Linked DNA regions of Caenorhabditis elegans. The protein of the gene in region 1 interacts with the protein of each later gene in a pairwise test. Each region holds a gene or a part of one and is shown on either strand. Other genes may lie near its edges.

The links.
Region 2: the proteins of W03G1.5 (region 1) and Y113G7B.15 interact in a two-hybrid assay, tested with the Caenorhabditis elegans proteins (one large-scale study listed by BioGRID).
Region 3: the proteins of W03G1.5 (region 1) and F08G2.5 interact in a two-hybrid assay, tested with the Caenorhabditis elegans proteins (one large-scale study listed by BioGRID).

The regions. Positions count from the first base shown.
Region 1 is NC_003282.8:501,075-511,549, reverse strand, and holds W03G1.5 (PB1 domain-containing protein), read left to right. Parts: upstream 1-5,065; coding exon 5,066-6,481; downstream 6,482-10,475. Other genes in the region: pig-1 (Maternal embryonic leucine zipper kinase), read left to right, coding at 4,403-4,492.
Region 2 is NC_003283.11:20,225,270-20,238,994, reverse strand, and holds Y113G7B.15 (Pept_C1 domain-containing protein), read left to right. Parts: upstream 1-5,151; coding exon 5,152-5,439; intron 5,440-7,002; coding exon 7,003-7,177; intron 7,178-8,102; coding exon 8,103-8,471; intron 8,472-9,772; coding exon 9,773-10,029; 3' UTR 10,030-10,056; downstream 10,057-13,725. Other genes in the region: sld-5 (DNA replication complex GINS protein SLD5), read left to right, coding at 1,269-1,555, 2,543-2,703, 3,495-3,721.
Region 3 is NC_003280.10:13,829,709-13,839,212, forward strand, and holds F08G2.5 (WW domain-containing protein), read right to left. Parts: upstream 3,924-9,504; coding exon 3,387-3,923; downstream 1-3,386. Other genes in the region: F08G2.4 (uncharacterized protein), read left to right, coding at 894-1,409; ins-37 (INSulin related), read right to left, coding at 5,404-5,741, 5,794-5,953; F08G2.7 (uncharacterized protein), read right to left, coding at 6,691-6,759, 6,817-7,130, 8,308-9,014.

The DNA.
Region 1 (10,475 bases):
AATCGGCTCCTGTACAGGTTGCTCCATAAACTCTTCGTCATCTACGATCGTGATTTGAGCTTTTTGATGTCCAATCTCCTCTTCTTTTACAGGTGCCTGAAAATGACAGAAATATTAAAACTCATAGGAATAGGTTAGCTTTGGGTTCACATTTAATGTTATGTGGCTCCTTCCACTAACCTTAGCATTTCGGCGAGTAATACGGCGAGTCTTCACAACGATTTCCGTAGTTTCCGGTTGCCGTTTTCTTGTCGGCTTTGGAACTAATTTTGGTTTTTCTTCTTTAATGGGCTCGTATTTTGCCACTAGTTTCTCGAGGAATGACATGACTTTTTCTGAAATTGATTTTTAGATCTGTTAATAAAATAAGATTAAATAAGCAGGGTTGAACAGAACAGATTATCACATCAAATAAACACAAATTAATTGAAAGCGGATAAGCATTCATGAAAATATTAAAACAAACAACTTTTAAAAATCTGAAAGAATTCCTCAAGAACATAATGAGAACATTTTTCGAGCAAGGGGTAGAGACAAACATTTGTCAAAGAAGGGGGAGGTGCAGACATTTTTTCGAGCGGGGGGGGGGGACAGACAAAAGACAAACAAATTCAAAGCTATATGTGGTTATCAAAGTCAAGATAGACTGATACGGCGAGAAAATGGAAGAGCCACACAGTTGTTATTTCGCTTCACAACCACTGCATGTCCAACAATGGAATCGGCGGAAACCACGACAACTGTGTTTGTTAACGTGACACGACCTCCGAAACTCGATTTTGAAACTGAATCAACCCAGTTTTGAATATGCATTTGCGGTACATCCTCTTCATATAACTTGTTCGATATGTCAATCAAATGATCATTTGTGTTGCAGTATTTCTTCAAAATAAAACGAAGATCAGTGTTGTTTTCCTTCAACAGCATCCCAATAATCTTTGCAAATCGTACGCGAGCATATTCGATAAACGTAACATTTGAGTCATCTGTCTTTTTGTTGCAATAATTCGAATATCTGATGCCGTCGTGGTATACAACATTAAGGAAAACATCCCCGGTCTCGCAAAACTGTTGGTACTGCGGAGGGGTCGGAACAACCGATATTCGTTTGAGTCGCCTTAATAATCCAAGTTCATAGCACATTTTCAAGTTCGCTTCTGTTCGAAACTGGTGATTTGTGTGTAGACGGAATGCAGCTTCGGTTTTGATCTCTTGAAGAGCCGACATTCTGTAAAAACATTCTTGCTCCCTATTGTGCTCTAATTTTCTCACTTTCTCATGATGCTCATGCCCAGTCCATTGTAAATTTCCGGAACTAAAGTTCTTTGAATAGTGTGATAGAAGTACTCGAACCATTGAGTTGACAATGGAAATAAGCTACCGTACAGCTCAGTCATTCTTGCAAGGTGGTACAACACTTGCTGCAAAATAGTAATGGGTGTTAGTTGACGACAATTTCCATACATGTACTTTGATCCCATTCAACATTTCCGGTGCTCGTTTCACAATTAAAACTTCGATGGATTTGCTGATTTGTTCAATCTGTAAAGAATGGTCTACTTTTTTCAAGCAAAAACAATAAAAACTAACTTTCAAATGAAGAGTCTCGTCAGTGATTGATTGGGGTTCTATGCAAAGACGATAAAGTCCATGAATGCTGAGAATGATAGCCGATGATACACCTCCAAGTTCACCGGAAAATGCAGCTGCTACAACTATCGACTCGAAAATCTAAATGTGTGTTCACTTTGCAGAAATTAGCTGAACGAATCTTTTTACCAGTGCTTTCTCAGAACCAGTACACTGTGAAGCTTTGCCGGACAACGAACGAAATCGAGATGGAAGCGAAGGTGTTGATGAAAAATCCACCGATTTTGACGGGAACAAATTCCATTTCCCTTTGGAGAATAATGCTGAAAAATGAACACGTTTCGGGAGCATTCGGGCATTACTAGTGACCTGTATTGATATTGCTTAAAATTCCTTCTTCAAAACAATGAAACAAGTCAACCGGGCATAGATGCATATACAAAACATGCTTGTGGAAATGAGAATGCTGGTTTCTTTGACGAAGGCCATCGTTCATAGTCGAAGGGCACGATCCGGTGAGATTTTCGCGTACTATAAAGAGGTGATTATTTTTTTAATAATAGTTTTCATGATGCTTACGTGTTGTATACTCATCATTGATTTTGCACTCAGTTTCCTGGTTTAAGCAAAAGTTGCAAGAACCTGATGATCGGAGTCCACACTGATTGTATACGATTCGTCGTGCCTGAAACCAAACACTTGTTTTCAAAATTCTGAATTTTCATCTCACTGGATCGTCATGATTGGCACACGTGAGATCCGCTTTCCAGGCCACTCCCTCTGAGAAGAAGACATGTTCGTCCATTTGGAGCAGAATCCATTGTGTAAGTCTATCATGAATTTTCGTTGTCGGATTTTTGAACCCGATGAATAACGCTGCTAAAATGAGGGCCTGGGGAGAAGCTCGATGAACGTCTTCGAGATCCAAATTGAGTAAACTATATGGCCAAATGTTCTGACTGAAAACCAATTAAAATTTTTAGAGCCATCAAACTAAGATACTTACTTTCCATTTTTATGTACTTTGATTCCGTCGAAGCTACTCTCGAAGTGCATCCACATTTCATTATCTGCCATTTCGCTGAGTAGCTTTTTTTTAAAGATACCCTTATTTATTGGACTGGAGCTATTATATCCTTCCAAAATAGTTGTTTTAGTCTTCATCATGATATTCGCAAAACTATTCAATATAACTTCGAGCCATTTCTTGAGATCTCCGAAAATTAGTTGGCATTTCTCTTGCATATCTTCACATTTGCATCTGTAATGATATATTTCAGAAATTTAGTTTTATAATAAACCTACAGTTCGATATTCTGCGCACATAAATTACATACTTCTACAAGTGTTAGATGAGAGTCATTCAGTAGCAATTTTCTGAGAATGCTATCTTGTGAAACATTGTGAAAATGTAGATATCTCAAAATGGCTGCTTTCGAGTTGGTAGTAGTGATGAGGAAAAAAGTTGTTCTCAGATTTTGATCGCTCAGAGAACGACACAGTTGACTTCGCTCGTCGCATAGAGAAGAATCGCGTTGAGTGTCCAAATAAAATGACTCATCGGTTTCAGCTTCTTGATCGATCTCGTAATTTCCCACTTCATCGACCGGATAACGAATTTCCCCGTCTTCATCAATGAATCCTGTTGTTTCTTCGTCTTCGAGTTCATCTTCTACACCATCTTCCTTTTGTCGTTCTTCATCTGCAGTTGTTTCCGTCTCGAAGTTATCGGCCTGGGTGCTTGAATTTGATGGACCATTGCTTCCCGGCTGGTGAGAACCATGATTATTGTCCGTCGGGTCTGAAAGTAGTTATTTAGTCCCAATAAAATCATTTAAAAAATTTACCTAGAGCAACTATTGTCACGCTTTGAATCAGAAGACTCCGGGGTGCTGAATTCAAAATTCTTCGAACTGTTGTTCTTGGATTTCTGGCCATAATCCTCCGTTTCTAGCCGGGAATGATACAAATCTTTGAAAAACACACTGGAATTAACAATTAACACATATTGATAACATATCACACAAAAAATACAATAAAAAAGGTCAAAAAAATGAAATATGTGAAATACGACGAAGAAAAAACAAAATAAAATCAATAATCAATGTTCTGCTAGTTAGCAGTGGGTTTCTGCTAATTAGCAGTGCTTTTTAGCTAATTAGCAATGACCTGCTAATTAGCAGTGGTTCTCTGCTGATAAACTATGGCTTTACTAGCTTTTGCTGATTAGAAGTGATTTTCTGTCGCTCTGCCGTGACTCCAGTTTATCTGAGTTTAAAAAAACATTTTTAAAAATTGTCTAATTTTGAAACGTTATTTTGAAAAACTTGATATTTTGGTAATTAATGATGAATTCGCGATTTTATCAGTAAATGCGTAAATATACGGCAAAAAAATAATCTAAAAACTGTGAAAAGCTCGGCAAAAAGTAGGGTTGATTCCAAAAGAAAACATTTTTTTTCCGAAAGAAATTAAAACATTTTTTGCCAAAAACACGAAAAAGCTTTGTGTAATTTTAAAAATTGTGTAATTTTGAAACGTTATTTTGAAAAACTTAATATTTTGGAAAATTGTACACCTTCTCATAATTTTTTAAAAGTTGAATTTTAGTGATTTTCAGCAAAAAAAAAACGGAAAAATTGTATTTTTTGCCAAAAAAACCAGAAAACACAGAATACACAAACTAAAAAATGTATGTGCGATTTTCAAAAACTGAAAACATGCCAGAAAAACAAAAATAGCCAAAAAATCCATTTTTACCCAATAAAAATTCCCATTACCTGACCCAAAAAATAATCCATTAAAATTTCAGGTCGGAATCCGCAGAAAGCGTCTGAAAGGTGACGCGTTCATGTACAAGAAGGTGTGCGAGAAGATTCTTCAAATGGCGAAAATCGAATAATTCCTATTATAAATATTCTTGTTTTCCTTTTTCTTAAATTTTCCCCCTAATTTTCGCCCAAATTCTCGTCTTCCTGGGTTTTTGTGTGTGTGTGTAGAATATCAATCCCGTTATCATTATTCTTATTATTATTATTCTTATTTTCTATTGTTCCAAGTTGTTTTCGAAACTGTTTTTTTCGAATTTTTCCCAATCGTGTAATATTTTTTGAATATTCCTCTCTCCTCTCTACTAATCCCTCGAATTTAAGTTTTTGTTTCGTATGCTCTTCTTATCCAATGATACCCCGCCTTTTTTTGGTATGAATGATCAAGATCTCTTTCAAAAGTTGTTTTCCCGCCAGCCACAAATAATCCTTTCCCCCCCCCCCCCAAAAAAAAACACGTGCTTTCTCCACTACACTAGTGAGGTTGCGCAAGTGTTCAGCGCCAAAAACTCTAACTCGTATTTGCTCTAGCCGTCTTACTCTCACAGTGACTCCACCCATTTTGCCGCTGATCTCACGAAAAACAAGTGGCCGAGTATAAAAAGCGAGAGCGGATGCAGTTATTTTGTCATATTGAGTCGCTACTGATGGCTCACGGACATCATCATCACCACCGCCGCGAGCGCCCGGGGCGCGAAGTTTATTTCAAACTTACTGCTAAAGATTCGAAACAGGCTCATCTATTCTCTATCAAGTATGAGAAGGTCGCCGGATTGCTCGAGAAGCTCAAGAAGAAGCTCGCCGAGTTCAAGGTCGACTTTGCCAACATTTTCTGGATCGATCGGGAGAAGGATCAGATTTTCCTGCAGACAGCCGAGGATCTGAAGGAGGCGATCAAGTTCTCGAGGTTTGTGGTGAAGCTGTACGCTGAGGGAACTGGTGAGAAGGATCTGAAGGGTCTGAAGAAGGATCTGAAGAGCGAAGACGATGAGGATGATCGTCGCAGCAGCAGCTCCTCATTCTCGAAGGTGTCTCATGGAAGATCGGAATCCGAGTCGTCTTCGTCAGGATCGGAAAGCAGCGATGACGAAAATGATCGCAAGAAGAAAGGTGAGCGTTCTGGAAGTTCCTCTTCTTCTTCTGGATCTTCCCGATCTCCATCTCGTGGAAGACGTGGAGGACGTGGTGGCCGCTCAGGATCCAGCTCGTCATCATCATCTTCTGAATCACGATCTCCCGGAAGACATGAGGAGCCCGAGAAGCAAGGAAAGAAAGAAGAGTTGAAGCAGCTGAAGAAGCAAAAGTCCGAAGGTGTTGAGCATCGTGGAAGATCGGGGTCACCGGGAGGACGTCGTGGACACGGTGGACGCCATGGATCCCGTTCTGGATCTCCAGGAGGTCGTCATGGTCATGGAGGCCACGGAGGACATGGATCACGCTCCGGATCTCCAGGTGGTCGTCATGGTCACGGAGGCTCAGGGCATCATCGTGGAGGTCGTCATGGAGGCCACGGAAGGCATGGATCGTGCTCCGGATCTCCACGAGGTCGTCATGGTCATGGAGGCCACGGAGGACATGGATCACGCTCCGGATCTCCAGGTGGTCGTCATGGTCACGGAGGCTCAGGGCATCATCGTGGAGGTCGTCATGGAGGCCACGGAAGGCATGGATCCCGCTCCGGATCTCCAGGAGGTCGTCATGGTCACGGAGGACGCCACGGCCCACCACATTGTCCAGGACGCCATGGAAGACATGGATCCCGTTCCCACTCTCCTAGAGGACACGGGCACGGAGGACGTCACGGGCCACCACACTGCCCAGGGCGTCATGGACACCACGGACCACCACACCATCATCACCATGATGGACGTTCTCCATCTCGTCACGGCCACCACCACCATCATCATCATGGATGCCGTCCATTCCCACCGCATCATGGACATCATCACTTTCCACCATTCTGGCCACCATGCCCACCACCACCACCATTCTGGCCTCCACATCGTCGTGGCGGTCACTGCCATCACCATCATCATAATGGACATCGTTCGTTCTCCCCATAAACTCTTAATTCTGATGCTTATTATACTGTGCATAATGTATATTTATTTGTGATCAATAAAGTTGTAAATAAATAAATAAAAAAATCGTGTTATGTTTTTTGTTTTTTTTTCAGATTTTCAGGTGAAATAAAAAAAAGAGAACATTGATTCTTCCAGGAAGGCAATTGCCTAGGCAACTGAACAAACATGAGTTCCTTTCCGTCTGTTTTTTTCCAATTTCCACCAGACTCCTAGGCTTCCCCAAAAGGCCAACTGATCGCTTCCAAAAGGCGAAGACATCTCGACCACTTTCTGTTGATCGACGAACAATTTGAGAGAGAGAGAGAGAGAGAGAGAGGAATTGACACAATGAGTGTGTAGTTTGCTTTTGTTTGAGACACGCAGAGTTTGTAGTATTCGGTGTGGTTTATGCTTTAGAGGTTGCAAAATATGAAATCGGAGTAATGGAAAATTGAAATATGACGAATTGACTAAAGTGAAGTTGGATGTTGGTTGCTATTTATTAGTAACAAATTTCGATATGAAGATGTTAATTTAGTGGCAGTGTTATATAAATTTCAGTCTACTTCGTAGGTTCAAAATTGTTTGCATGTGTACCTAGCAGACAAACATCGGTCAAACGTACTTGTAATAATGCTGTAATACTGGTGTTCCAAGGCTTTTTTCGACAGAAAAAATGTTTTCTGAAAATGTTCGAAACCATTAAAAAATTGAAAAAGGACACTTTTTAGTGTTCGGAAATCAATTTTGAGTCTTCTAACAACAAAATTAACCATTTTAGAGGAGTTTCAAAATTGTGAATTTTAACAACATAAATAGCCCAATTTTGGTACCTTTTAATAGTTTTTGATGGGTTAAACCAAGATTTTCTGAATTCAGCATACCTGAATTACCAGTTTTCAACAAATTTAGACAACTTTTTATTTATTTTTTCCTTTTTTTTTTCAGCCATCCTTTTTTTTGGTCAAAAATTGTTTTTCTGAAACTCTTCGAAACCAATATTCTGAAAAAGAACAATTTTTAGTGTTGTTGAGTGAATTTTTAGGGAATTTTGTAGAAAAAAACTGAAAAAAACTTTTAAACAAATTTGACCGTGGTAGAGTTGAACTGTAATTTGGATGCTAACTCAAAAACGAAATGATTTTTAAAAACTATGCATATGAAAATTTAAAGCCGAAGTTTCTCAATCTACTAATATTGTTAAACTTACCATCATTTTTATCAGATTTTTATGGTGCAGTAAAACATTTGTAACAAGCTTTTGAACATCGGACTTCTATTCCAATTACTTGTTTGAGCTTCGATTTTTCTAGCTTTGTTTACCCGTTGCATAATCTGTGCTCATGTTATATGAGATACATATACATGTTACTACTCGGCAGTTTGCTACTCCTGGCGCGCGCACGTTTCGCAGCGGGCGCGCCGACGGAGCGCGCTAGTAATAATGTCTCGAACGCCCGGCGCACTCTCTGCGCGCGCCCCGCGCATTTGATACAAATTTTGTCACGGCTCGTTCCCCATCCCTTCATTATTTTATCAAATACATTGGCAATGTGGAATACTGAGTATATTTAGATTTAACTTTATTATAGTGAAAAGCTTTAAAAATTTAAAAACTTCAAAATTAAAAATTTTTCCGTTGTGCAGCAAGTTCTCTTCTTCCTTTGTTGGAGTTCCTGAAGTTCTTTTGATGGATCTGAAAAATAAAAAAGTTAATTTCACTCATTGAAACATTTTTCATGTTCATTTGAAAAAGAAAAAAAAAACTTACAGGAATCAGGGAAATTAAACAACTCCGAAAATCTTCTTTTCAGAGGCCCCTCGTGCATAGGCCGTGCGGAGGTGGTGAATCCAATTCATCTCCATACCTTTGCTGCTTTTCTGAAAATATCAAATTATGTTTATAAATAATTGCTATGTATAAAAGAGGTCAAAGACCTGGTTGTTATCAAATTATTACTCATTTCGAGGAAATCGTTTTTATAATCTTACCGATGAACTAATTCGTTTAAATCCTCTGAAGATGTGATTCGTCTCAGCATTTATGCACTTTCTGCAAATTTTTTCATTATTATTTAATTGAAATTTAATAAAAAATAAAGAAAATGTGTAAAGTCGAAAAAAAAACTGAAAAAACACAGCTTGAAAAATTTGGCAGAGTTGAAATCTCGGCCGCGGCCGCGATCTGCGGAGGATGCGCGCACGGATCACGCACGGGGCGCGTACAGAGCGTGGACGATCCGCGCACAGAGCGTCGACGATGTGAGGATTATGTTTTTTCTACGTGAATTTGAGGATTGGGAAGTTAAAACAACTATAAAGTGCCTATATACCGATACTTTCTATATACGGATCAATATATACACAAACATATCACCATACGTTTCCTATTAATTGTGTCCCATTTGACAACTGCAACCTCAAGCCAATAAATGTTCCATTTTGAACGATTACACATTCATACTCTTGATTACATAGTTATTAGTATATAAAGTTCAGAAAAAAGCACGTTTATTTTATTTTCTGGTTCCTGCTTCGTTCTTGCCAGACTCAATTCGCATTCAGTGCGCATACGATGCGCGCCTCGAGCGCGCCCTTTGCGCTTCAGGTGCGCGCGCCAGACGGACTCCCTTATTATCGCGCGCCAGGCGCAAAACGTGCGCGCCCCAGGAGTAGCGAACTGCCGAGTAGAATAGATCTCCAAGGCAACTTTGCTTTGGTATGTGTGATAAATTATTTTCAGCTATAGAAAAACTATTGTTTATGAACATCTGAACCAGGGGTGTGCGGCAAATCTCAAAATTTGCCGAGCTCGGCAAATTCGGCAAATCTATTTTTCCAATATTTGCCGAGCACGGCAAATTCGGCAAATTTGCCGAGCTCGGCAAATTCGGCAAATTCGGCAAATTTGCCGTGCTTAACAAACTCGGAAAAATTATATATTTTTTGATATTTTTTGGAGCACCAAAACTACTGAATTCTTAACACACCTCTGGTTTCTGAACAAGTTAGGTGTAGTGTGTCTGCTTAAACATCAAAATAACTCAATTTGTTGTCATTTTACTAAACTTTTGGCGAAAAAATCAACAGTTTTAGTCAAAATTGTACTGTCAAATTTTTGACGTGTGCGGCAAATTTCGAAATTTGCCGAGCTCGGCAAATTCGGCAAATCTACTTTTTTGAAATTTGCCGTGCTCGGCAAATTCGGCAAATTTGCCGAGCTCGGCAAACGGCAAATTCGGCAAATTTGCCGCACACCCCTGATCTGAACGTTTGAACTTGTGATAAGTAGTTGTTAGAGGATAGGCAATTTATATTATACTCACTATGCTAGACTATACCAGGTTACTATGCATGTATTTAACAATGACTAATAGTTATCTTATGCCTAGCTTTACTTCAACTTCCTGATAACTTTTAGAAGTCTTGGATGGTTATCCGAGTCGTGTTTTGTAGGAATTTTTTGAAACTAATGTTTTGGAACTATGAAGTCAATCGTCAAAAATAAACATATAGTAAATTTGTTTATGCTTGCAGTTGGACCAGAAAAAACTTGGTTTTGATTATATTGTTTTGCAACTCAGGAAAAAAGAAAACCTCATCTGATATGGACCGAAAACTTCGAAAAAAACTTTCAGGAGACTGCTGAATTTAGTATGTCTGGTTTACTTTATACTCTCTTACAGTCTGAAAAAATATGGAACTTAACAGAATGCTTCACAGAGTTAACCAAAAAGTATCAACTTCTTTAACAGTTAAACCTAGATTTTCTGAATTCAGCATATATGAATTACTCGTTTTCAACAAATTTAGACAACTTTTTATTTTTGCCCAATTTTTTTCAGTCATCTAAGACTGTTCTTTTTTTTGGGCAACAAAATTTTTTTTTTTTTTTGAAATTTTAGAAAACCTTTGATAGTTGAAAAATGACAACTTTTTAAAGGTTTTTTTTAAAGTAAATTTTGAGTCCTCTAACTACAAAATTAACCATTTT
Region 2 (13,725 bases), on another chromosome or scaffold:
GTTTATTTTTGGTCCGAAAAAAATATATAAAAATATGAATTTTCCAGCAAAAATTATTTTTTCGAAATTTATTCAATTTTGATAGAAAAACTGAGAAAAAATTCCAAAAAATTGATTTTTCTGAAAATTTGGAAAAAATCGTTTTTTTTTTTTGCAAAAAAAAATGGAAAAATCAAATTTTTCGAATAAGTTTGAAATTTCCACTAAAAATATTTTTTTTACGAAAAAAAAACTTATTTGGTTCATAAAAACTTGAAATATATATATATATATAAATGTGAATTTTCCTGAAAAAAATTAATTTTCCACCTAAAAATTATATATTTTTTCAAATATAAAACTAAAAAACTCTATTTTCCAATTAAATTCAATTTTAATCGAAAAACTGGAAAAAAATTTCAAAAAATTGGTTTTTTTCTTTAGAAAAATCAATATTTATCTGAAAAATTGGAAAAAATCATTTTTTGCAAAAAAAAAATCAAATTTTTTGAATAAATATAAAATTTCCACTAAAAAATATTTTTTCCATAAAATACAAAAATTTAAAAAAATTTAATTTTCCAAATTTAAAACTCCGAAAAAATTTCCTTTTTTACAGGAAAAAACCCCGATTTTTATGATAAAACGTTTTTCACCCAAAAATCAATATTAGTCTGAAAAATTGAAAAAAAAAATTCAATTTTTACTGAAAAAAATTAACATTTCTCACTTTCCTTTAAAAATAATTAATTTTCCACAAAAAAAACCAAATTTTTTCAATTTTAGCACTAAAAATATTATTTTTCCAAAAAAAATTTAAAGTTCAAAAAATATATTTCCAGAGTTTCCATTTCCCAAAAAATACTAAATTTTGATAGAAAAACTGAGAAAAAAATTCCAAAAAAATTTGAAAAAATATTTTTTTTTGCCAAAAAACAAGGAGAAATCAAATTTTTCGAATAAATTAAAAATTTCCATTAAAAAACTATTTTTCCCATAAAAACTAAATAAAAATATATATAAATGTGAATTTTCCTGAAAAAAATCAAAATTTTTCAATTTTAGCACAAAAAAAAATTATTTTTCCAAAAAAATAATAAAAAAATTTTTTCAAAAATTAATTTTCACCTAAAAATGATGAATTTCTTCAAAAAAAAACATTTTTCCCAAAAAAATTTTTTTTTTCAATTTTGGCACTAAAAATATTATTTTTCCCAAAAAAAATTTTTTCAACTAAAAAAAAATTTAAATTAAAAAAATATATTTCCCCAGAATTTCCAAAAAAAAAAATGGCCGTCACCGACTCTGCAACAACCTTTTTGGATTTTGACGACGACGAATACGATGAGATGACTACACCGGAAGAAGTGCTCCGAAAAATGACAGCCACGTGGCAAAATGAGCTGTGTGCTCCGTGCCTTCTCCCAACTCAAATGGAACTTGTCGAAATCCTACTTGATCAGATTCAGGGAATGGAGGAAAATATTGGAAAACAAACGGATAAAATGCAGCTGAGAATCTCAGTTCATCGAGTCGAGCTTCAACGCATTGGGTTTATTACGTCGGATTATGTTAGGTGTGCGGCGGGAAAATGAGCCCCGAAAATGGAGAAAAGTAGCGAAAAACCACGAAAAATACGAAATTTCACGAAAAATAGTGAAAAAACGGAGAAAAATGGGAATTTTCGCTGAAAATTAGTTTAAAAACCGTCCAAAATGGAGAAAATCATGAAATACTGGAAATTTTCACTGAAAATTAATTAAAAAACGGAGAAAAATGGGAATTTTCACGGAAAATTAGTTAAAAAAACGGAGAAAAACGCGAATTCTCACGGAAAAATGGTCGAAAACCACGAAAAATGCAAAAATTCACTGAAAATTGATTAAAAATCGGCGAAAAATGCGATTTTTTGCAGAAAATTGATAAAAAATCACGAAAAATGCATTTTTTCGCTGAAAATTGATTAAAAATCGTCTAAATGGAGAAAATCATGAAATATTGCAAATTTTCACTGAAAATTAGTTAAAAATCGAGAAAACTTCACATTTAGAGTGACAATTAGCCGAAAATTCACGAAAAATGCGAATTTTCACGAAAAAATAGTGAAAAATCGGCGAAAAATGCGAATTTTAACTGAAAATTAATCAAAAATCGGCGAAAAATGCGAAATTTTGCTGAGAAAGTATCAAAAAATCGGAAAAACTTGGAAATTCAGCCGAAAATTAATCAAAAATCGAAAAAAAGCTATATTCTGCAGAAAAATTTGCAAAAATTGTCTAAAAATTTGTACAAAAATCGATTTTTTATGGAAAAAAAAATTGAAAAGCAGCGCAAATTTCGACGTTTTGGCGCTTTTTTGCCGAAAAAAAGGGCGAAAAATGAAAAAAATGGACCAAAAATTCATTAGCAGCGCCCAAAACTTGTAGTTTGTAGTGCCTGAAATTCAAAAACACGCTAAAATCCTCAATTTTCATCGAATTTTGCCCATTTTTTCACGAAAATTTCCAAAAAATTCCCAAATTTTCGTAGATTCTCACTAATTTTCTCGAACAATTTTCTGCAGATGCCGCCTCCAAAAAATCGAATCAAATCCACACGACGCAATCGATCAACACAAAAAACGAAAAGAAGAGGGAAAAAGTGATCTACTATCGGAATCTGAGATGAAATTCGCCGAAGAATATGCTCTAGCGGAGTCGAACCTTTTTCAGAAAACTGTCCTGGGTACGGCGGATGGATTTTTGGTTGAAAATTGCGATTTTTTATTGAAAAAATCGTAAAAATTGGCCAATTTTTCACTAGAAGCCTAATTTTTTTCTAATTTGAAAATTTTTTTGAAAATTCATGTATTTTTTTGTTACAATTTTGAAAAAAAAAATGTCAAAAAATTTTTTTTTTGATTTTTTGAATTTTGAAAGTTTTCCTTTCGAAACTTCAAATTTTTCTCTCAAAATTTGAATTTTTTTTGAATTTTTATTTATTTTGACCTAAAAAAAATTTTTTTTTTTGAATTTTCAAAAAAAAACAATTTTTTTGGTAAAATTGACCATAAAAATTCACAAATTTTAAGAAATTTTCAAATTTTAAAATTAATTTCAAAAAAATCGATTTTTTTTGGAATTTTCAAAAAAAAAATTTCCTTGGAAAAATTAAAATTTTGCAATTTGTTTTTTTTGTGGAAAATCAATAAAAATCTTATTTTTTGCATTTCAAAAGTTTCATTTTTAAGTTAAAAAAAAATTAAATTTAAAATTTTCGCTAAAATTTTAGAAAATTACCTCAAAAATTCAGAAAAATTTGCGTAAAAGCTCAGAAAATCTGGAAAATTTCGATTTTTTTTGCAGTTTTTTTTTCTCTCAAAAACTGCAAAATTTCGCTTAATGCCACGTGGCAATTTTTACAATTTTTTTTTCAAAATTTCAAAAAAAAAAAATTTCAAAATTCCCAAAAAAAAACTTTTTTTTTCAAAATTTCAAAAAAAAAAAAATTTCCCAAAAACTCTCAATTTTCTTCAGAATTCATGCCAGCAGCGCTTAAAAAGATGCCAGTTCCACGTGGCGATCATGATGACGTCATGGTTTACGCAAAAGTGACGTCAGATGACGTGGGCAACGTTGCGATTCCGGATTGGCAGGATTTGAATGGAGAAGTGATTTTGGAAATGGAACCGGAATCGTGTCATTTGATTCCGTTCGAATCGGTACATCAATTGGTTGAAGATGGAAATATTCAACTGATGTGAAGAAGAATTTTTTGATAATTTTTTCGGATTTTTTTGGAATTTTCATCATTTTTACCCCTAAAATCGTAAATTTAATCCATTTTTTTGTAATTTTCCCGAATTTTTCATCATTTTTTACCCCTGAAACCCCCTTTTTTTTTTTTTACATATGTCTACTTTAATTTGTCACTTTTTGCCAATTTTCTGTCAAAAAATGAGCATTTTCACTGAAATTTTGCGGTGATTTTTCGCCTGTTTTCTCCTCTTTGAATCTCAATTTTTCACTTTAAAATTATCAAATTTTGCTCAAAAACCTCATTATTCCATTTTTATGTTCCCCCAAAAAACTGGATTTTCACTTCAAAAATCGGGTTTTTTTCTCTTAAATTTTCATTTATTTTAGCTTTTTTAAACATAAAAACGAAGCTTACTCCATGTTTTTTCCTGAAAATAGACAAAAAAATTTGGTTTGATATAAATTTTCGATTTTTGAGCCAAAAAGTGAATAATTTAAAGTTTTTCTGCTCATAACATTGTTCAGCATGACCATAGCGCAAAACTGGTGAAATTTTTGGAACTTTCGTAAAATTTCAGGCTTAAAACACCTAAATTACGCGAATTTTGGAGCAGTTTGAAAACTTGGTCAAGTGGCTCAGGCGGGAAGAGAGAAGGCTATGGTTCGGAGGGTAACAGGTTCGAACCCCCGCTAGGGTCAATATTTTTTATATGTTTGAATTAGTATAGCCTAGTTGGTTTTGAGCAATTGCGAAGGGGAGGAAGGGTTTAAGGGAATTTTTTGAAAAAAATCGATAAAATGTGTTTTCTTTTGGTTTTTTGCCAATTTCTTGAAGTTTTCAGCGATTTTAGCATAAATTTCCAAATTCTGCAGAAAATTTAGACATTTTTTGACACCCATATTAACTTTTCAACTTTTTTTTTCGAATTTTGAGCCAAGAAATTGATCGATTTAAAGTTTTTTACTCATAACTCTGTTCAACATGAACGTAGATCAAAACTAGTTAAATTTCTGGAATTATCGTGAAATTCTGAGCCTAAAACAACTAAATTACGCGAATTTTGGAGCAGTTTGAAAACTGGGTCAAAGTGGCTCAGGCGGGAAGAGGTATGGTTATGTGCGGAGGGTCATAGGTTCGAACCCCCGCTAGGGTCAATATTTTTTTAATGTTTGAATTAGTATAGCTAAGTTGGTTTAGAACAATTGCGAAGGGTTTTGAGGGAATTAAAAAAAAAAAAAAACATTTTTTTTTAAATTTTTAGATTAAAAATTTTTTTTTTTTTGGAGAACTAAACTTTCAGGGCTCAGAGTAACACTGAAACAAGAACAATTTTTTTTCATATTTTATCATTTTATGTTACCTGTTACCTTGAACATGTTGATCGGCGTGATTCCACCTATAAAAACCAGCGAAAACCCCGTAAAAACCTGAAAAATGTTACTTTTCATAATTTCCCCCTTATTCCTACTCTCTCTATGCCAACCTACAGTAACCCAACACTCTCAGGAGGTACTGTCACATTTTAACAATTTCACGATGCACCATAAGAAACACTACCGTACCCCGGCGGAGAAAGACCGCCGGTTGGCTCATTTCGCGAAAAATCATCAGAAAATCCAGGAACTTAATGCGAAAGCAAGGAGAGAAGGACGAAATGTGACTTTTGGGTGGAATAAGTTTGCTGATAAGAATCGACAGGAGTTGAGCGCCAGAAATTCAAAGGTTGGGGAGTTTTTTCAAAAAGCGCACAAAATTCTGCGCAAGATGGTTTTTGATTGGTTGAAAAATATTGATTTTAAACCGAGTTATGGCGTTTTGAAGGTGGTGGCCTAGAAACCGGAAATTTAGAAAATTTAGGTCACCAGTATTAAATAGGTCAAATAGACTCTAAATTTTAGGGAGAGTACATTAGTTTTAGAATCACTGAAAAATATTGATTTTCCGTTGAGTTATGACGGTTTTAAGTTGGTGGCCTAGAAACCCAAAAATCAGAAATTCTAGGCCACCAATATTAAATAGGTCAAATCGATTCCAAATTTTGTGGCAAGTACGTTAGTTTTGGAATCACTGAAAAATATTGATCTTGAGCAAAGTTATGAAGGATTGAAGTTGGTGGCCTAAAAATCCAAAAATCAGAAATTCTAGGCCACCAATTTTAAATAGGCCGAATCTATTCCTAATTTCAAGTCAATCACGGTAGTTTAGGAACCACTGAAAATATTAATTTCGAGCCAAGTTATGAGAGATGGAAGTTGGTGGCCTAGAAACTCAAAAGTTAGAAATTCTAGGCCACCAAATATCAAATAGGTCAAATTGATTTCAAATTTTGAGAAAAGTACGTTAGTTTTGGAGTCACTGAAAAATATTGAGTTTCCGTCGAGTTATGACGGTTTGAGGTTTGTGACCTAGAAACCCAACAGTTAAAAACTCTAGGCCACCAATATTCAGTAGGTCAAATGGACTTCAAATTTTAGGGAGAGTACGATAGTTTTGGAATAGCTGAAAAATATTGATTTTCCGTTGAGTTATGACGGTTTTAAGTTGGTGGCCTAGAAACCCAAAAATCAGAAATTCTAGGCCACCAAATATTAAATAGATCAATTTGATTCCAAATTTTGAGACATATACGTTAGTTTTGGAATCACTGAAAAATATTGATTTTGAGCTGAGTTATGACGTTTTGAAGTTGGTGGCCTAGAAACTCAAATATTAGAAATTCTAGGCCACGAAATATCAAATAGGTCAAATCGATTTCAAATTTTGAGACATATACGTTAGTTTTGGAATCACTGAAAAATATTTATTTTCCGTCGAGTTATGCCGGTTTGAAGTTTGTCGCCTAGAAACCTGAAAAATTCTAGGCCACCAATTTTAAATAAGCCGAATTGATTCCAAAATTCAAGTTGATTAAGTTTGTTTCTGTAAAACTCAAAAATATTGATTTTGAGCCAAGTTACAAGAATTTGAAGCAGGTGGCCTAACTTTTAATTTCTAGGCCACCAACTTCAACCCTCCATAATTCGGCTTTAAATCAATATTTCTGAATTTTACAAAAACCAACTTACGAAATTTGGAATCGATCTGACCTATTTAATTTTTGATGGCCTAGACATCCAAAATTTTGGGTTTCTAGGCCACCAACTTCAAACTTTCATAACTCGGCGGAAAATCAATATTTTTGAAATTTGAAAATTGTATTAGAATGTTCACGGTGCGTTCTTTAAGTTCTAATTATTCTTTTTTTTTAAACGAAAATTAAAAAAAAATAATTTGGAAATTTTCCAGATTCATCCCAAAAACCACACGGATCTTCCAATTTACAAGCCGAGGCATCCACGTGGCAGTCGTAATCATCATAATAAACGCTCAAAACGTCAAAGTGGGGATATTCCGGACTATTTCGACCTCCGTGATATTTATGTCGATGGGAGTCCAGTTGTTGGTCCTGTTAAAGATCAAGGTATGCTTAATTTGAAAAAGCTTAAAATTTGAGTAAACACAGATTTTGATTGGCGAAAAAATATTGATTTTCCGCCGAGTTATGAGGGTTTGAAGTTGGTGGCCTAGAAATGCAGAAATTTTTGGATTTCTAGGCCATCAAAATCAAGTAGGTCAAATTTATTGCAATTTTTTAGACAAATAAATTGGTTTTTGCAAAATTTTATTATGTAGATTTTCCGCCAAGTTATGAATGTTAGAAGTTGGTGGCCTAGAAAAATCATGCTCAGGTTTTCTAGGCCACCAATTATTCGAAAACAATAATAACTTAGACTCAATGTTTTTACAATTTCAGGTTTGAAAACTATAATTTCTAAGCAAAGTTATAGTCGTGGAAGAGTTTTTAAACTTTCTAGGCCACCAACTTGAAACCGTCATAACTCGGCGGAAAATTGATATTTTCGGGTTTTGTTAAAAGCATGTATCTTTCCATAAAGTTTACTATCAAATTAACTTAGTTAATTTTTAATGGCCTAGAAAAACACCAAATTGGATTTCTAGGACCCAACTTCAATCCCATATAACTCGGCGGAAAATTGATATTTTCGAGATCCGTAAAAATAATTTTGTTCACCATGAAATTTACGTTCAATATGACCTACTTAAATTTTGATGGCCTAGAAAACAATCATTTGGATTTCTAGGCCACCAACTTCAAACTCTCATAACTCGCTTCAAAATCGACGTATTTGGAGTTTGTAAAAGCCAATCGGTTTGTAATTTAATTGTTAACTTGAAAAACTCCCCCAAATACCGGTGGCCTCATCTGAAATTCTAGGCCACCAACTTCAAACCTTCATAACTCCCTTCAAAATATTTATTTTTTGGTGTTTCAAAAACTATTTCCATTTTAAATTTTACGCTCTTTTCAACTGATAACTTTTCAGAACAATGCGGTTGCTGCTGGGCGTTCGCCACCACTGCCATCACCGAAGCTGCCAACACCCTCTACTCCAAGTCCTTCACAAGTCTCTCGGACCAGGAAATTTGCGATTGTGCAGATTCAGGAGACACTCCTGGGTGCGTGGGAGGTGATCCAAGGAACGGTCTGAAAATGGTGCATCTACGGGGACAGTCCAGTGACGGTGACTACCCTTACGAGGAATATCGGGCGAATACCACTGGAAATTGCGTGGGCGACGAGAAAAGTACAGTAATCCAGCCGGAAACTTTAAATGTCTATCGATTTGATCAAGATTATGCAGAGGAGGATATTATGGAGAATTTGTATCTCAATCATATCCCTACAGCAGTTTGTAAGTTTTTTTGAAGGGTCTCGCCACGAAAAGTTTTGGGGTACAGTAATCCGGTATGGTTTGGGCCTGAAACATGTGAATCTGGCAAAAATTACGAAAAAAAAATCTTAAAAACTGACTAAATTATGAGGTTTTGAAATTTGAAAATTTTGCGAAAAAATTAGCATTTGGGTCCCACCACGAAACGTCCTGTAGTTCTTTAGTCTGGGATGGCTTGAAGCCCAAATTTTGCAAACTAGTAGAATAAAAGTATGCGCTCCTGTCAAAATAAAAATTATCTGAAAATCTTGAAAACTAGCAAAGATATGTTGCTTTGAAATTTTAAAAATTTTTGCAAAAAATATTTTTTTCAAAATTTTGGTCCCGCCACGAAAAGTCCTGGGGTACTGTAGTCTGAATTGGCTTGAAGCTGAACATTTATAAGCTGACAGTAAAAAATTTTGCACACATTCTGAAATAAAAATAAGTCAGATACCTTAAAAACTGACAAAGTTATAAGGTTTTAAATTTCGGAAAAAATTTGCAAAGAAAATATTTTTTTCTTCAAAATTTTGGTCCCGCCACGAAAAGTCTTGGGTAATGGCTCTGAGCTTTGAATTCTAGTAGAGAAAGAGTATGCGCTCCTGTCAAGTTAAAAATTATCTAAAAATTTTGAAAACTGACAAAGTTATAACGCTTTGAAATTTTAAAAATTTTTGCAATTTTTTTTTTCAAAATTTTGGCCCCGCCACGAAAAGTCCTGTGGTACTGTAGTCTGAGATTGTTTGAAGCTGAAATTTTATAACCTGATAGTAAAAGATTTTGCACACATTTTGAAATTTAACTTAGGTGAATATCTCAAAAACTGGCTAAGTTTTGAAGTATTGAAATTTAAAAAATTTTGCAAAAAAATTTTTTTTTTTGAAAACTTGTGTCCCGCCACGAAAACTCTTGGAGTACTGTAGTCTGAGATGGCTTGAAGTTGAAATTACATAAGCTGGCAGTAAAAAATTTTGCACACATTATGAAATAAAAATTAGGTAAATATCTTAAAAACTGACAAAGTTACGAAATTTTGGAATTTTAAAAATTTTAATTAAAAAATTTTTTTCAAAATTTTGGTTTGACCGCGAAAAGTCCTGTGGTACTGTGGTCTACAATGGCTGAACGCTGAAATTTTTGCAGACTGATAGTGAATCATTTTGCGCACATTTTGAAATAAAGAAAAAGTTAATATCTCAAAAACTGGATAAGTTATAAGATTTTGAAATTAAAAAAAATTCCAAAAAAAAAGTTTCCAAAAAATTTTCAAATTTTTCCAGATTTCCGAGTGGGTGAGAACTTTGAATGGTACACATCAGGAGTACTTCAATCCGAAGATTGTTACCAAATGACACCAGCGGAATGGCATTCCGTAGCAATTGTTGGTTATGGTACATCAGATGACGGTGTCCCGTATTGGTTGGTTAGAAACTCGTGGAATTCCGATTGGGGTCTTCATGGATATGTCAAGATTCGACGTGGTGTTAACTGGTGTCTGATTGAAAGTCATGCGGCTACTGCTATGATTGATAATTAATTGTGTAATGAATGTTTTAAAAAATTAGTTGGTTTAGTGAATTACAACATTTGAGTATACAAAAGTTTTACAAAAGTTTGCCAAACCGGAAACTTAAAAAATAATGAACGATTCGAAAGTTATCACGACAAAATGATTATTTCTTGAGAGAAATTGGCGTTGACTCTCTAATTGGTGTTTCTGCTCCGACAGATCTATCGCTTTTGTCGTCTTGAGCTTTTTCGACGTCATCCTCATTGGTGCCAGCAACCTTTATTCTGAAATTACAGTCGTTAGAGATGACAATGTTAAACTAAAAAAAAACTGAACAGTTGCAAGAAAATCTCGAAACTTTGCCTGTTTATTATTCCTCCAGATAGATAACTAAAAATGTACCTGTGAATAGTGACAATATTCTTCTGTGCAATGTTACATACGCAGCTACATGCCTCTTGTTCAAGAGCCAGATTCCAGTGCATGCCTAGCAAAATGACATGTGTCGCACCATGCAAATTGATTGCCCCTGCTCTCTCTGACAAGAAAACTACGCTGACTGTTCTGTCATTTTTGTCGTTCAGCTTCTTCGCTATTTCTCGACAATCTTTTGCACTGGTCGTTTTCACAATTCTACGGCAACCGATATTTTGTAATTTTGAAATTTGAAATTCGATCACATCAAACACAGGTTTCCACTCACAAACGACAATTTTAAAATTTGAAACTATTAGATGAATTGTCATCGTATCAACAAATGCTAATGCTTACACTTTCTCTTTCTTCATTAAAACTTCCTGTATAATATTAATTGTCTTTGTTATTCTGGCATTTGGATGTTTAATATCGAATATTTCAGGAAATTGGCCAATTTTGGGAAATTGGCCATTTTTGGCCAATTTTGCAACATTTTTCAAGGTTTCCTTGGAAAATGTGTATTCTTCAGTTGCTTTCGTGAATTTTTCCTTTGCAGTCTCGAAAGTCGTCTTGGCACTTTCGAATGCTTGTTTTTCATCATCGGAACAAGCAGTCTCAAAATTTTTCTCTGCCATATTAAATGATTTTTCTTCTTCTTTGAACTTTTCTTCTTCATCCATGAATTTGTCCATAGCTTTTTTAAGAGGTTCTTCTGGTGCCAGATTATGAAAATGAATGCTAGCTTGCTGTAACATAGCCAGCAACTTTAATGATTGTCCTTTTTTACAAAACCTGAAATACAGAAATGATATTAGGTGAAGTGTTTCTTATATTCCAACCTTTTGTGAGCATCCTCTATTATATCGTAAGCCTTCTTTTCGTTTGCAGACAATTCTCCGGTGTTAATTATTGAATTAAAAACCAAGTTGTTTCCGCGGAAAAGCTCCATTGTTGATTCCTTAAGCTTTTTCAAATTTTCCGGGGTTTTTTCAGGACCTTTCACATTTTCTCCAAACGGCTTGTTACCCAAAAACAAAATAAGATTGCAAATATCCCATTCTGAGTTTTGGAATGGTGCGGCGGTAACGCACCAACGATTTTTTGAGGCAAGTGTCGCAATAGCCGTGGATTTTTTGGTATTTGAGTCCCGAATGTTGTGCGCCTCGTCTAGTACGATCCTCGTCCATTTGATATTTTGCAAAACTTGCTTGCTCACTTTTTCACCGGTTTCATCTTTTTCCTTTACCGGAACATTTCTGTACGTAGTAAGTACGACATCATATTTTTGAAGTTCGCTTGCTGAAATATTCTTTCTAGCTTCACTAAATTCATCATCATAGTACAAGTAAACAGACAGCGCGTTTTCTTCTAATCGATCCTTAAACTCGTCGTACCATTGGTAAATTATACGCTTTGGAACAATGATCAAAGTTGGAGATTTCTGTTCGAATTTTTTGTCGTTCGAAGCGCATTTGATCTTTTGGTCCAGAATGAGCGCAATGACAATTGCAGTTTTTCCTTGTCCGTGAGCAAGTCCCAAAATTCCTCCAGATGGCTCCTGTGCCTCTCTATCAATCATCCAATCGCGCGCAGCTTCCTGATGAGGCATTAGACGGAAATCAGCGACAAAACCATTTGGCGTTGCATCCTGACAAGGTTCTTTTTTGATATCCTTCTTATCTTCTAGTGTACACTTGTCAAACTCATCATTCAAATTCTCTCCATTCTCATTGTCGGACATGTTGCTGACCAAGAAAATCTGAAATATTTAGGAATATTTCGAGCACGTATTCCGTAAAAAAAGTCAGTGTTGAAGAAGAGGAGAAGAGTTTTGCAAAAGCTCCGTATAGGAAAATTAACAAAAGTATATAATTGAATGTATTTTTTGAAATGAGGAAGAAACTTTAAAAATAAAACAAAAATTCATGGCAAAATTTATTAGGAAATAACAAGTTCATGTCAGGGGTCCTAAAACAAGAGAAATCAAAAAAATCAGAAAGGGCGCTACGCAGTGTGTGCCCCACTGCCACTATTTCGAAAGAGAATTCAAAAATAAGAAGTATTGTATATAATGAATGATGAAATTCAGAGACAAAAACCGATAAAGAACTAGCGTTAGAAAATACTTTAAAATGTCCTTGTTGTCTGATTATATAGAAAACAGAAAAAGTTAAAGTCGAACAGTATGAAAAAATTGAAAAAAAAAAGAAAACCGAAAACTGAAACCATTGTGAAAATGGAAAACGTGGTTTCTTTTATATGCTGTCGTCCATAAAAATGATGGTTTTTTCTTATTTGTGGGGTGTATTGAGCGATGGCAAGGTGAGAAGAGTTTTATCACGATAGGTATAGAAAGAAATGATTAGAAAGAGAGAACACAACAAGTTCACTTTGACTTTTTTTGAATTTGAATTTATTTAACTTGAAAAGAAAGAAAACCAACAAATCAATAGTGTAACAGAATAATTAAAGGTGGAGTACCGAAATTTGAGACTTTGCTTCTTTTTTTAAATTAAAAATGGTCCAAAACTACCAAATTTCGTAATCGGACGTTCTGAAAATTTATCAAAAAAAAGTCAAAATTTTGGAAAAAATGGTATATGTTTAGCTAAAATCTCAAATGTTGGCAACTTTTCAGTGTCGCTGCAGTTGGGTCTTATTTTAGTTGAGTCTCATCCTTTAATGCACATTTTTAAAGTTTATTACGTGTTATTTCGTTAATTGAGTAAATTTTTTCCAAAACTTTGAGCAGTCATAACTTCTTTTTTTTTTGGAAAATTTTTCAGAACGTCTTATCACGAAATTAGGTAGTTTTGGACCATTTAGGTCAAAAAAAGCAAAGTCTCAAGTTTCCGTACTTCATCTTATAAAAAATTGTGTTAAAAAAATACATGAAACAAGACTAACCCGAGTAAAATAAAAAAAAAGAATGTGAGAGAAAAAAGATTGCATGCAGGTTAATTGAGAAAAAAAAATGCATAATCGGCAATTTAGGGCTTCTTGATTGAGTTATTATCACATTTTTCATCGGAATCAGTTTTTGGGACAAACGTTACCGTTAAACTGTATTTCTTATCATCCACTTTTGTTTGCACATTTCGAAATAAGACAGCAATAATGACGTGTTGTGTTTCCATTTTCAAAATCTGCAAAACGGGCAACATTCGATAGATTTGGAACTGAGAAAATATACGGGTACCCAATTTTTTGTTAAATTCACACAAAGGCACACACATAGAGGAAATCTTGTAAAATTGCAAAGTTATGAAGTTTTGAAAAAAAGCATCGTATTTCCTTTTTTGCCAT
Region 3 (9,504 bases), on another chromosome or scaffold:
AGTAAACTACAAATATACTGAAATATGTCATGTTCCCTGACCTATCTGTTTCTCTAACCCTCTCACTATTTCGTGACTCACCCTTCTTTTGCACACCTCCGTCTCTTCTCAGTCTCCTTATCTCTCAAGTTTTGCTGCTGGGTACATTTAATTTTGTCATATGATATTATTATTACTTGTTTCTAATACTTTCAAATTCAAATTAAACTTTTAGTGTTATTTTCAGATTTCGAAATACTTCTTTATATATTTTTTAGTTCTCTCTGACGCAATTGTCAATAGAGTATTTATTCAGCTGTCAATGCCAACCTGTTCCTTTTTTCAAAAAAAATATAGAAAACTAGTGTGTTAATCACTTCCACAAACATTTTACTCATTAGCTGCTTTCCTCCTTCCGTTAGGAAAACGTGTATATAACTTCTTTCAAGACAGTTTTTTATCGATTTTTTAGTTTTCAATGCAAAAAATTCCAAATTTTTGAAGCTTATTTTCTAGACATATTATTGATTTTTGCTTAACTTTTTTTAAATTTCAATACTTGGTTATGCTTTTATAAAAGAGAAAATAGTCAGTTTTTGCCTAATTTACATACAATTGGTACAAAACTTTAAAAAATGTTAGTTTAAAAAAATTTTCGCAGCAATCGAGCTCTACCGCAATTATATGTTAAGGAAGGTGTAATTTTGGAAAAATAATGCAAAAAGACTCCAGTCAAGTTGTGCGGTAGGGCGTGCCTTATACAAGGTAATTAGATAATAACCTGCAGCCGACATTTTTCGAGAAATGCTCATTTTTCAAGGGGGCTTTTCCTTTGGTTTCTGCTTACTTTCTCAGTTTAGTTTTGCTCAAAAAAGCTCAGAATTTCAATTTTCAAATCAAGCATGTTTCAGACAATGCCAGACAACCACAAGGATCCGCCAGACTTCAACAACCTCGAGATGAAACTAGAGGAACGAATCGAATTGTCACGGGAAGATCAGGATATTCAAAGTACGAGCAGCTCCTATCCACACTGTGAAGCTCTCGATCACATAGTCTCAATGGAATCCACGTACGATTTTCACCGTCAAATGGCTCACAAGGACCTGCAAAAGCACCGACAGGAATATGAGAAGGCTAGCGAGAAGATTCTGGAGCTTCGGAAAAAGCTGACCGACTGGAATATGGATCCGAAGAAGAGAAAGTGGATCGAAGACGACCTGGATTCACTGGTCAGGAAACAAGAAAGCGCCCTATCCCGTATCAGACTAGCGGAAAAGTGCACAAAGAGGGATCTGCGGAATGATCCACCACCAGCATATCAGCCGGATGATCCATTGAAGGATTTGAGGAAGAATTTTGAGAAGAAGGAGAAGCCGACATGGAATGATGTGGAAAAGAAGAAGAATGGAGTTTTTGAGTTTCACTGATATTGCTAGTAATTCATATTTTAAGAAGATTTGCTTTATACATATTTTTATACTTATTTTTTACATATTGTCCAAAACCTATAAATTTTTCTGGTCACTTTGTAGTACATAAGTTCAAGTCAAATACAGACCCGTCGGATGTCAGCTGCTGTATTTATTTCGGAACAGAGTTATGTAATTCTGATATCAAAAGTCTAGACAACGTAATCGCAACATATTGTTAGTTGAAAATATTTTACAAACTATCATAGTGTTTGAGTTATACATCTTTGCGCAATGACAGTGCGGCAAATTTGTCAAATTTGCCGCACACCTCTGTTTTGCATAACTGAAGCAAATCACAACCGAAATCGAATAGAATATTGAACACTGTAACATATATTTCTATCTTTAAATATATTCAGGTAAACTGTAACCGATAAAAAATTAAAAATTTGGAGCCTACAGCAAATTGCAGTGCGGAAAAATTTTTTTCGACAAATTCGGCAAGTCGACAAATTGTCGGTTTGCCGATTTGCCCGAAATGATAACTTCCGGCAAATCGCCGATTTGCCGTTTGCCGGATATCAATTTGCCGGAAGTTTTTAGAGGGCTTTTTTATAAGACGGAAACACTGAAAACTGTGCTTTTTTGAAATTTTTTTCCCGTTTTTTTTTCTTACTTTTTAAAAAAGGTGTAGGAACATTTACAGGATGCGTAAAATTTTGCCGGCTGAAATTGAAGTTCTGAAATTTAAAAAAATGTGCAAAACCACAAATTGCCGAAAATTTTCGACAATTTCCGTTTTTCCGGCAAATCGGCAATTTGCCGGTTTACCGACTTGCCAGAAATTTCAATTCCGGCAATTTGCTGATTCATCAGAAATTTCAATTCCGGCAACTTGCCTATTTTCCGGAAATTTCAATTCCGGCAATTTGCTGATTTATCAGAAATTTCAATTCCGGCAACTTGCCTATTTTCCGGAAATTTCAATTCTGGCAATTCGCTGATTTTCCGGAAATTTCAATTCCGGCAATTTGCTGATTTATCGGAAATTTCAATTCCGGCAATTTGCTGATTTATCAGTAACTTCAATTCCGGCAACTTGCCTATTTTCCGGAAATTTCAATTCCGGCAATTTGGCGAACTACCAGAAACTTTCAATTTTGCCGGTTTACCGATTTTCCGGAAATTTCAATTCCGGCAATTTGCTGATTTATCGGAAACTTCAATTCCGGCAATTTGGCGATTTGCCAGAAATTTTCAATTTTGCCGGTTCACCGATTTTCCGGAAACTTCAATTCCGGCAATTTGGCGATTTGTCAGAAATTTTCAATTTTGCCGGTTTACCGATTTTCCGGAAACTTCAATTCCGGCAATTTGCTGATTTATCGGAAATTTCAATTCCGGCAATTTGGCGATTTGCCAGAAATTTTCAATTTTGCCGGTTCACCGATTTTCCGGAAATTTCAATTCCGGCAATTTGGCGATTTGTCAGAAATTTTCAATTTTGCCGGTTCACCGATTTTCCGGAAATTTCAATTCCGGCAATTTTCTGATTAGTCGGAAATTTCAATCCTCCGGCAATTTTGCCGATTTGCCAGAAATTTCAATTCAGGCAATTTTCCAATTTGTCGGAAGTTTCAATTCCCGCAATTTTCCGATTTGCCGGAAATTTTAATTCCGGCAACAGTTTTATATGACCTCTTTCTTATTATTTGGTTTTTTAATTTAATAATAAAGAACAAAACACAAATTCGAAAAATACAAATTATTTATTTTTACACAACAATAAATAGACAACACACTTAAATGGTCATATCCCGGTTGTTTTAAGATTTATCGAAAAACTACCAACAAACAAAATATTGCTGATGCCTTTTTCAATAATTTTGTAGTTGAACACTTTTCGATATCACTTATTTAAACCAAGATATAGGATACCAAAAATGAAATAGAATACAATTAAACTAAAAACAAATATTTACATTTAAAAATTCAAGCTCCATTCGAATAAGTTTCTCTCGGCGAGTTCTCACAATCATAGATCCCGCGACGACGATTGCGGTATGGTTCCCACGTTCCATTTCTTCCATACGGATGCCATCGTCTCCCATGACGCTGCTCCCACTCGGCAAGCCCATCTCGACAACGGCATGGCGAGGAGTCACTGGAATTGGTTGATGATTTAGAACTCACCGAGTCATCGGAAGAAGAGGACGAGGAAGAATCATCAGAGTCATCAGAAGAGTCGTCAGACGAAGTGTTCGGAGGTTTCACCGACTTTCTCTTCGATCTCTGTTTACGAGCTCGTCGAGCTCGTGGAGCTGGAGATTCAGAGATCGGAAGTTCCGAAGAACGTGGATATTGACACCCTTGGGTGTCTCTACGATCTTGAGAAGTTAACGTGGAAACCGTGGAGTCGGAATATCTATCTTCATCGTCCTTATCTGAAAGTTCAGATTCTGAACTATCAGATGACGAGTCGAAGAATCCGTCTCCAAGAGGAAGTGGACGAGTGCTGAGCTTTCTCATTGTAAATGAGATGCTCTTCAAGGTGAGAGGTGCTGGTTTTATAGGTGGGTTTTGTTGACGAATAGTTTCGAATTATTTCGAAGAGTTTCGAAATTAGTCATGACTTTGATAAGGTGGGCAAATATTGATGACGATATGTGTGTAGTATTGCCAAATTTGAGGAGAACTCCTTGCCGTTTGATCTCCGAAAATTGGGGTCACACAGAACATTTCTGGAAGTACATAGAAGTCTATGTTTCCCGCAATTTTCAGAGGTCAAAAAGTAAGGAATTTGCAAATTTTTTTGCAAATTTTTTTTCCGGCAAATCGGAAAATTGCCGGAATTGAAAATTTCCGGCAAATCGGCAAATTGCGGAATTGAAATTTTCCGGCAAACTTGAAAGTTACCGGAATTGGACATTTTCGGCATACCGGCAAAGTGACAAAATTTAAAATTTCCGACAAATCATCAAATTGCCGGAATTGGAGTTGTGGCATACCGGCAAATTGACGGAATTGAAATTTCCGGTAAATCGTAAAATTGCCGGAATTGAAATTTCCGGCAAAACTGGGGCAATTACATAACTCTAGAAGGAGAACATTTTTGAATTCATAGCTCTTATATCTCTATAGTAAAATTTATGCTATAAATTTATATAAAAAACGTCCTAAAATTGTATTTTGCGCAGCAGGACCCATCTTTGTCGTGCTTTAAAGTTTCAAAAATAGAAACTCATTATTGACACACGAATTTATTTTTAAAAAAATACAAATAATAATAAATTTTATATTTAATTTGCATACTACAAAAACAAGTAATTTTTATCAAAAATTGCAAAATTCCGGTAGTCAAGTTAGTTCGTATGGGGTGGTTGAGAATTGATAACCCATACGATCCGGACCGCAGGAATTCGAAAACTGTTGGGGAGGAGGAAGTATATATACTAGAGGCAATGCAAGCGGTGGACGTTTCTCGAGGAATGGTGGTGGGTTTCTCTGGGTCTCTAGTAGTGTACAAAATGCGCTCCACCGCAATTCGATAATTAGGAGACTGTGTCAAACAACTTTATGTAAGGTGTAATTTTTTGGGTAAAAAATTGACTAATGATTTGAAAAAATCTATTTTAAAAAATCTGCATTTCAAGCCTATATATACGAAATCTTATTTTGTTTCTGTAATTTTTATTATTTTTCGAATTTAATTGAAAAATGCCTAACTAAAATTAAACGTTTCTTTCTAATCAACTTGCCCACCAAATTCCAACAATGCAAAACAGGAAGTCAAGTTGTTGCCGATGGGGTGGTTTCTTCAGATAACCCACCGACTCCGGACCTATGCCTGATAAAAAACCTTCTATCAACAGAGTATATATACCAACGGTCTGTTAAGTGGACGACGGTGTGTTGATAAGTGGCGTTTCAATGGAGCGCACTTGCAATAGTTGTGAAATCAGTTAAAATTTTGCGCTAGTAATTCAAATCCACATATATTATACATACATTACTTTATTTTTACACAATTAATACAGGCATAGTTTTGCACTCGATTGAACTTGTCCGGGATTCTTCTAGGCCGCCGCCGGCGCCACCCCCTTGTTCGGGCACATTGCTTCAATGATATTTTCGTCGGTACATTGACTGTCTTCACAACAATATCATGTCCACAGCTCTTTTTAAAACCCTCCGCCGCAAAGCTGACCATATCGATTTCTTCGGCTTCCTCCTCAAACTTTACTCCATATCCTTGCGAAGCGTACTTGCACAGAGACTCCTTGATGTCCAGATCGGTACACTCGTCCTTGCAGCACATCTTCCAAAGATCCACATCACTGCTGCGATCTGAAAAGCGATGATTCGGTTTTAACCTGCTAAGAATGATATAATAACATACCTTTCTTCCCACTGCAAGCTTCAAAAGCGCGATGAACAAGATGGGATCCACAGGAACGATAGGGAAGGAAGGCCGCATTTGGGACCGGGTGAATTGGATTGGCATTGGTGAGCACGGTGAGCATAGCAATGCTCAAGGCAATTGGCAGGAAAGCAGCCATGGTGTTCAATCGTCTATCCGGTTCGGGATGAGAGTTGAGGTATGATTCTTATTTTGTTTTCGATTTTGAGTGGGGGGGGGGGAGGGAAATGCTTACAATTATGACCTATGGGTCACGTCTTTTACGTGGAGTGTCAATTTGGGAATAAGTTGAGTGACTTTTCTTATAGTTTTTAAAGGCCAAGTTAAAATTGAATGTCTATTTAACAACTATACTTTATTTTTTGAAAATTGATTTTTCACTATTCTGCAAGCTTATTTTGTCCCCTCGGGGACTGGGCCGAGCCCGGCAGCAGTGCAACGCCAGGACGACCCTTGGGAAGTCGGAGCAAGCCCCGAGTCTTCCCTAGGTTCCAAAAATCATATAACCTTTATTACACTCATTCGAGTGTATACCGTAGGTTAATACGATAAGAACAGATACTACACTTTGATCTTAGCTAATAAGCCGAAGAAGCGATACTGAATGGAGGAGAGGGTAGGGGTAGTGGGGAGCTGTGTACCGACAACTCGTGGGTGCGCGTGGAGCACTCTTTGTTTCGTGGCCTAGAAAAGAAAGACAATTAGGTATGTCTTTGAATTAATTAAAAATCTTTATATAATAAATTAATTAAAATATGAAAAGTTCAAAGAAAAATCAATAAATTAAATATTAGAACTCGGTGAAGTGAATAATTTCGAAAGTCCATAGGATTTTTACACGTGTAATCGGGGGGAGAAACTGTTGGGGAAACGTTATTAATTAGCTGCAACTTTTTCGGGCTCTTTGGCGTCGTCTGGAGTCGTGCTGAAGCCGGAGTCCTTGCCCTGAAAGTAATTATAATTGTTTCAAGCGGAAAATTTTAAATTTCCACCAAAACTCACCTCTTCAAGAGTTGTCAAATTGGATTTACTCAGGAAATCCGAGAGCTCAGCAGCTTCTTCATCATTTTTCAGTGTGCTCGTCGAGCCATGACACCTTGGAGACTCGATTTCCTCATCACGGAAGTTCTTCGTCTCATCCTGATCTTCATCATCATCATGGAAGAAGCTTGAGCTCGATTGTTGTGGATTTTGCTGTGAAATTCCAGAAGTTGATGGGCCTTGAGATGTATTGAGTTCTAGAAGTGGAAGGGTTGGCGGAGCCGGAACAAGTGGAGCCAGGTAGCTGACGTCACTTGCTGGGACTAGGGATTCGCCTGGAAAATGGGAAAATTGAAGAAAAAAGTGCAAACATTTCGACATTTTTAGCAAAAGTTCTAGCCAAATTTCAAAAGTTTTGAGCAAAATTCTCAGAAAAATCGTCGATTTGGAGCAAAATTTTAAGCCAAATTTTGCCGTTTTTGAGCAATACTCTCATGCAAAATTTGACATTTTTGAGCATCATTGTTAGGGAAAATTGAAATTTCAAATTTTAACCGGAGCTACACGTGAAATTTTTTAGAAAAAACGTCGATTTGGAGCAATATTTTGAGCCAATTTTTGGTATTTTTGGGCAATATTTTAAGCCTAATTTTGACATTTTTGGAGCGCAATTGCAAAATTTTCAACCAAATTTTGATATTCTTGAGCACAATTTCCATCCAAATTTCGACATTTTTGAGCCATGTTTTCAGTCAAATGTTGACATTTTTGAGCAAAATTTGTTAGGGAAGATTTTAATGTTTAACTTTTAACCGGAGCTACACGTGAAAATTATCTGAAAAATCGTCGATTTGGAGAAAAATTTCCAGCCAAATTTTAACTTTAAAGTATTTGGCCTAAATTTAGGCCAAATTTTGACATTTTTTGAGCACAATTTTCTGTCAAATTTCGGCATTTTTTGAGCAAATTTTACAACCAAATTTTGACATTTTTGGCAAAAAGTTTAGCCAAATTTTGATATTTTTGGCAAACATTTTCTGTCAAATTTTGGCAATTTTAAGCAAATTTTCAGTCAAGTTTTATCATTTTGAGCGCAACTTCCAACCAAAATTTGACATTTTTGAGCAAAATTGTCATCCGGATTGTGACATTTTTAGCGAAATTTTCAGCCAAATTTTGGCATTTTTAGAGCAAAAAAAATTCAGACAAAATTCTATTTTTCAAAACTAAAATTGTTTTTTCTTCAATTTTTCGCTGCACCATCTAGTATTGCCAGTAGGCGTTAAATACCTGCCTGCCTGCCTGACCATAAGGCGACCTCCGCCTGCCTCTCGCCTCAATCCGTGCCTTATGCTAAAACATATGTGAACTTTTTTTAAAAATTGCTTAATTAGATTTTCATTTTAAAAAAAAGTAAAAATTCAAAAAAGAAGCGAAAGACAGGCGTTTGGCGGGCAGGTTTCAGGCAGGCGGCAGGCCCTCAGAAAATTTCAGCAAAAAATTCAAACTCACCAGCTCCCCCATGAGTCGTATCCATTCCAGACGTTGTTGGAGTGTTCGAAGAGGAAATCGGATGCATAGGTGCCCCCATGAAAGAGTACCTCTGCGCGGAGCCCCCAGAATTCGGCTGAAACTGGAACATCTGCGGGAATTGTGGAGTGGCCGGTGGGAATCCGAACTGGGGCATTATGGGATTTCCAAACGGGATTTTATGCTCAGCTTCTTGCCATTTCCGCTTAAAATACTCGGTTTTCTTCTTCTCCTTATCCAGCTTCGCATTCGACTGTAACAACATTTTCACGAGGTCATCCTTCTCCTTCTCGAGCTCTTTAATCTGCCGATGGTCGTTTCTCTGCGTTCTCTCATAATTAAACAGTCTCTCCTCGTAGTGAGCTCGAATTTTCTTCTTCAAATCCTGATATCTCATCGATTTCTTATAGACCTCCTCTTCATCCTCCTCCTCGTCCTCCTCCTCTTCCGGATGGTGCCGCCGATGCTGATAGTGCCGGTGATAGCCGATCGGCGACGTGTTCTCACTTCCGTACTCTGACGTCTCCCACTGTTGATACCTGGGCGCTGCTCGGGAAGAGCTTGATGACGTCATTTTCGAGGTGGATTGCACCATGTTGCTGCTCCGCCGGCGTTGATCTCGTGGCTCGCGGCGGAATGAGTCGACGTTGAAGGAGCGGCTGCTGCTTGGGGCTTCTTCCTCGATATATCTGCAAATTTGAGATTAAGGATTTTTTGATACATGGCCGAATCTAAAATGTATCGGTGGCCTAGTTTTCCTGGTTTCCAGGTTTCTAGGCCACGTAAGAAAATTCAGCATACGATAGGCTTCTTCCTTATACCCTTGAATTGTAGTTGCCAAACTCTAAATTCAATAACTATCGAAAAAAATTGGTGGCCGAGTTTTCATTTTTCTAGGCCACGAGGCAAGTTTTGACTATAATGGACCTTTTACTTTTTTAGGCCACGTAGCTAAAACCAATTTATAATGAATACCAAGATGCTTTTTCGATTCAAAATTGATCAAATTTTCTGTATGGACGCCGACAAAAATTGGTGGCCGAGTTTTCTTATTTTCTAGGCCACATAACAAATTTTGGCCTATGATGGATCATTGTCATTTAACAGTTGAATTTTTTTTAACATTGTTATTGCGCTACATGGCCGTGAAAAAATTGATGGCCGAGTTTTCTCGTTTTC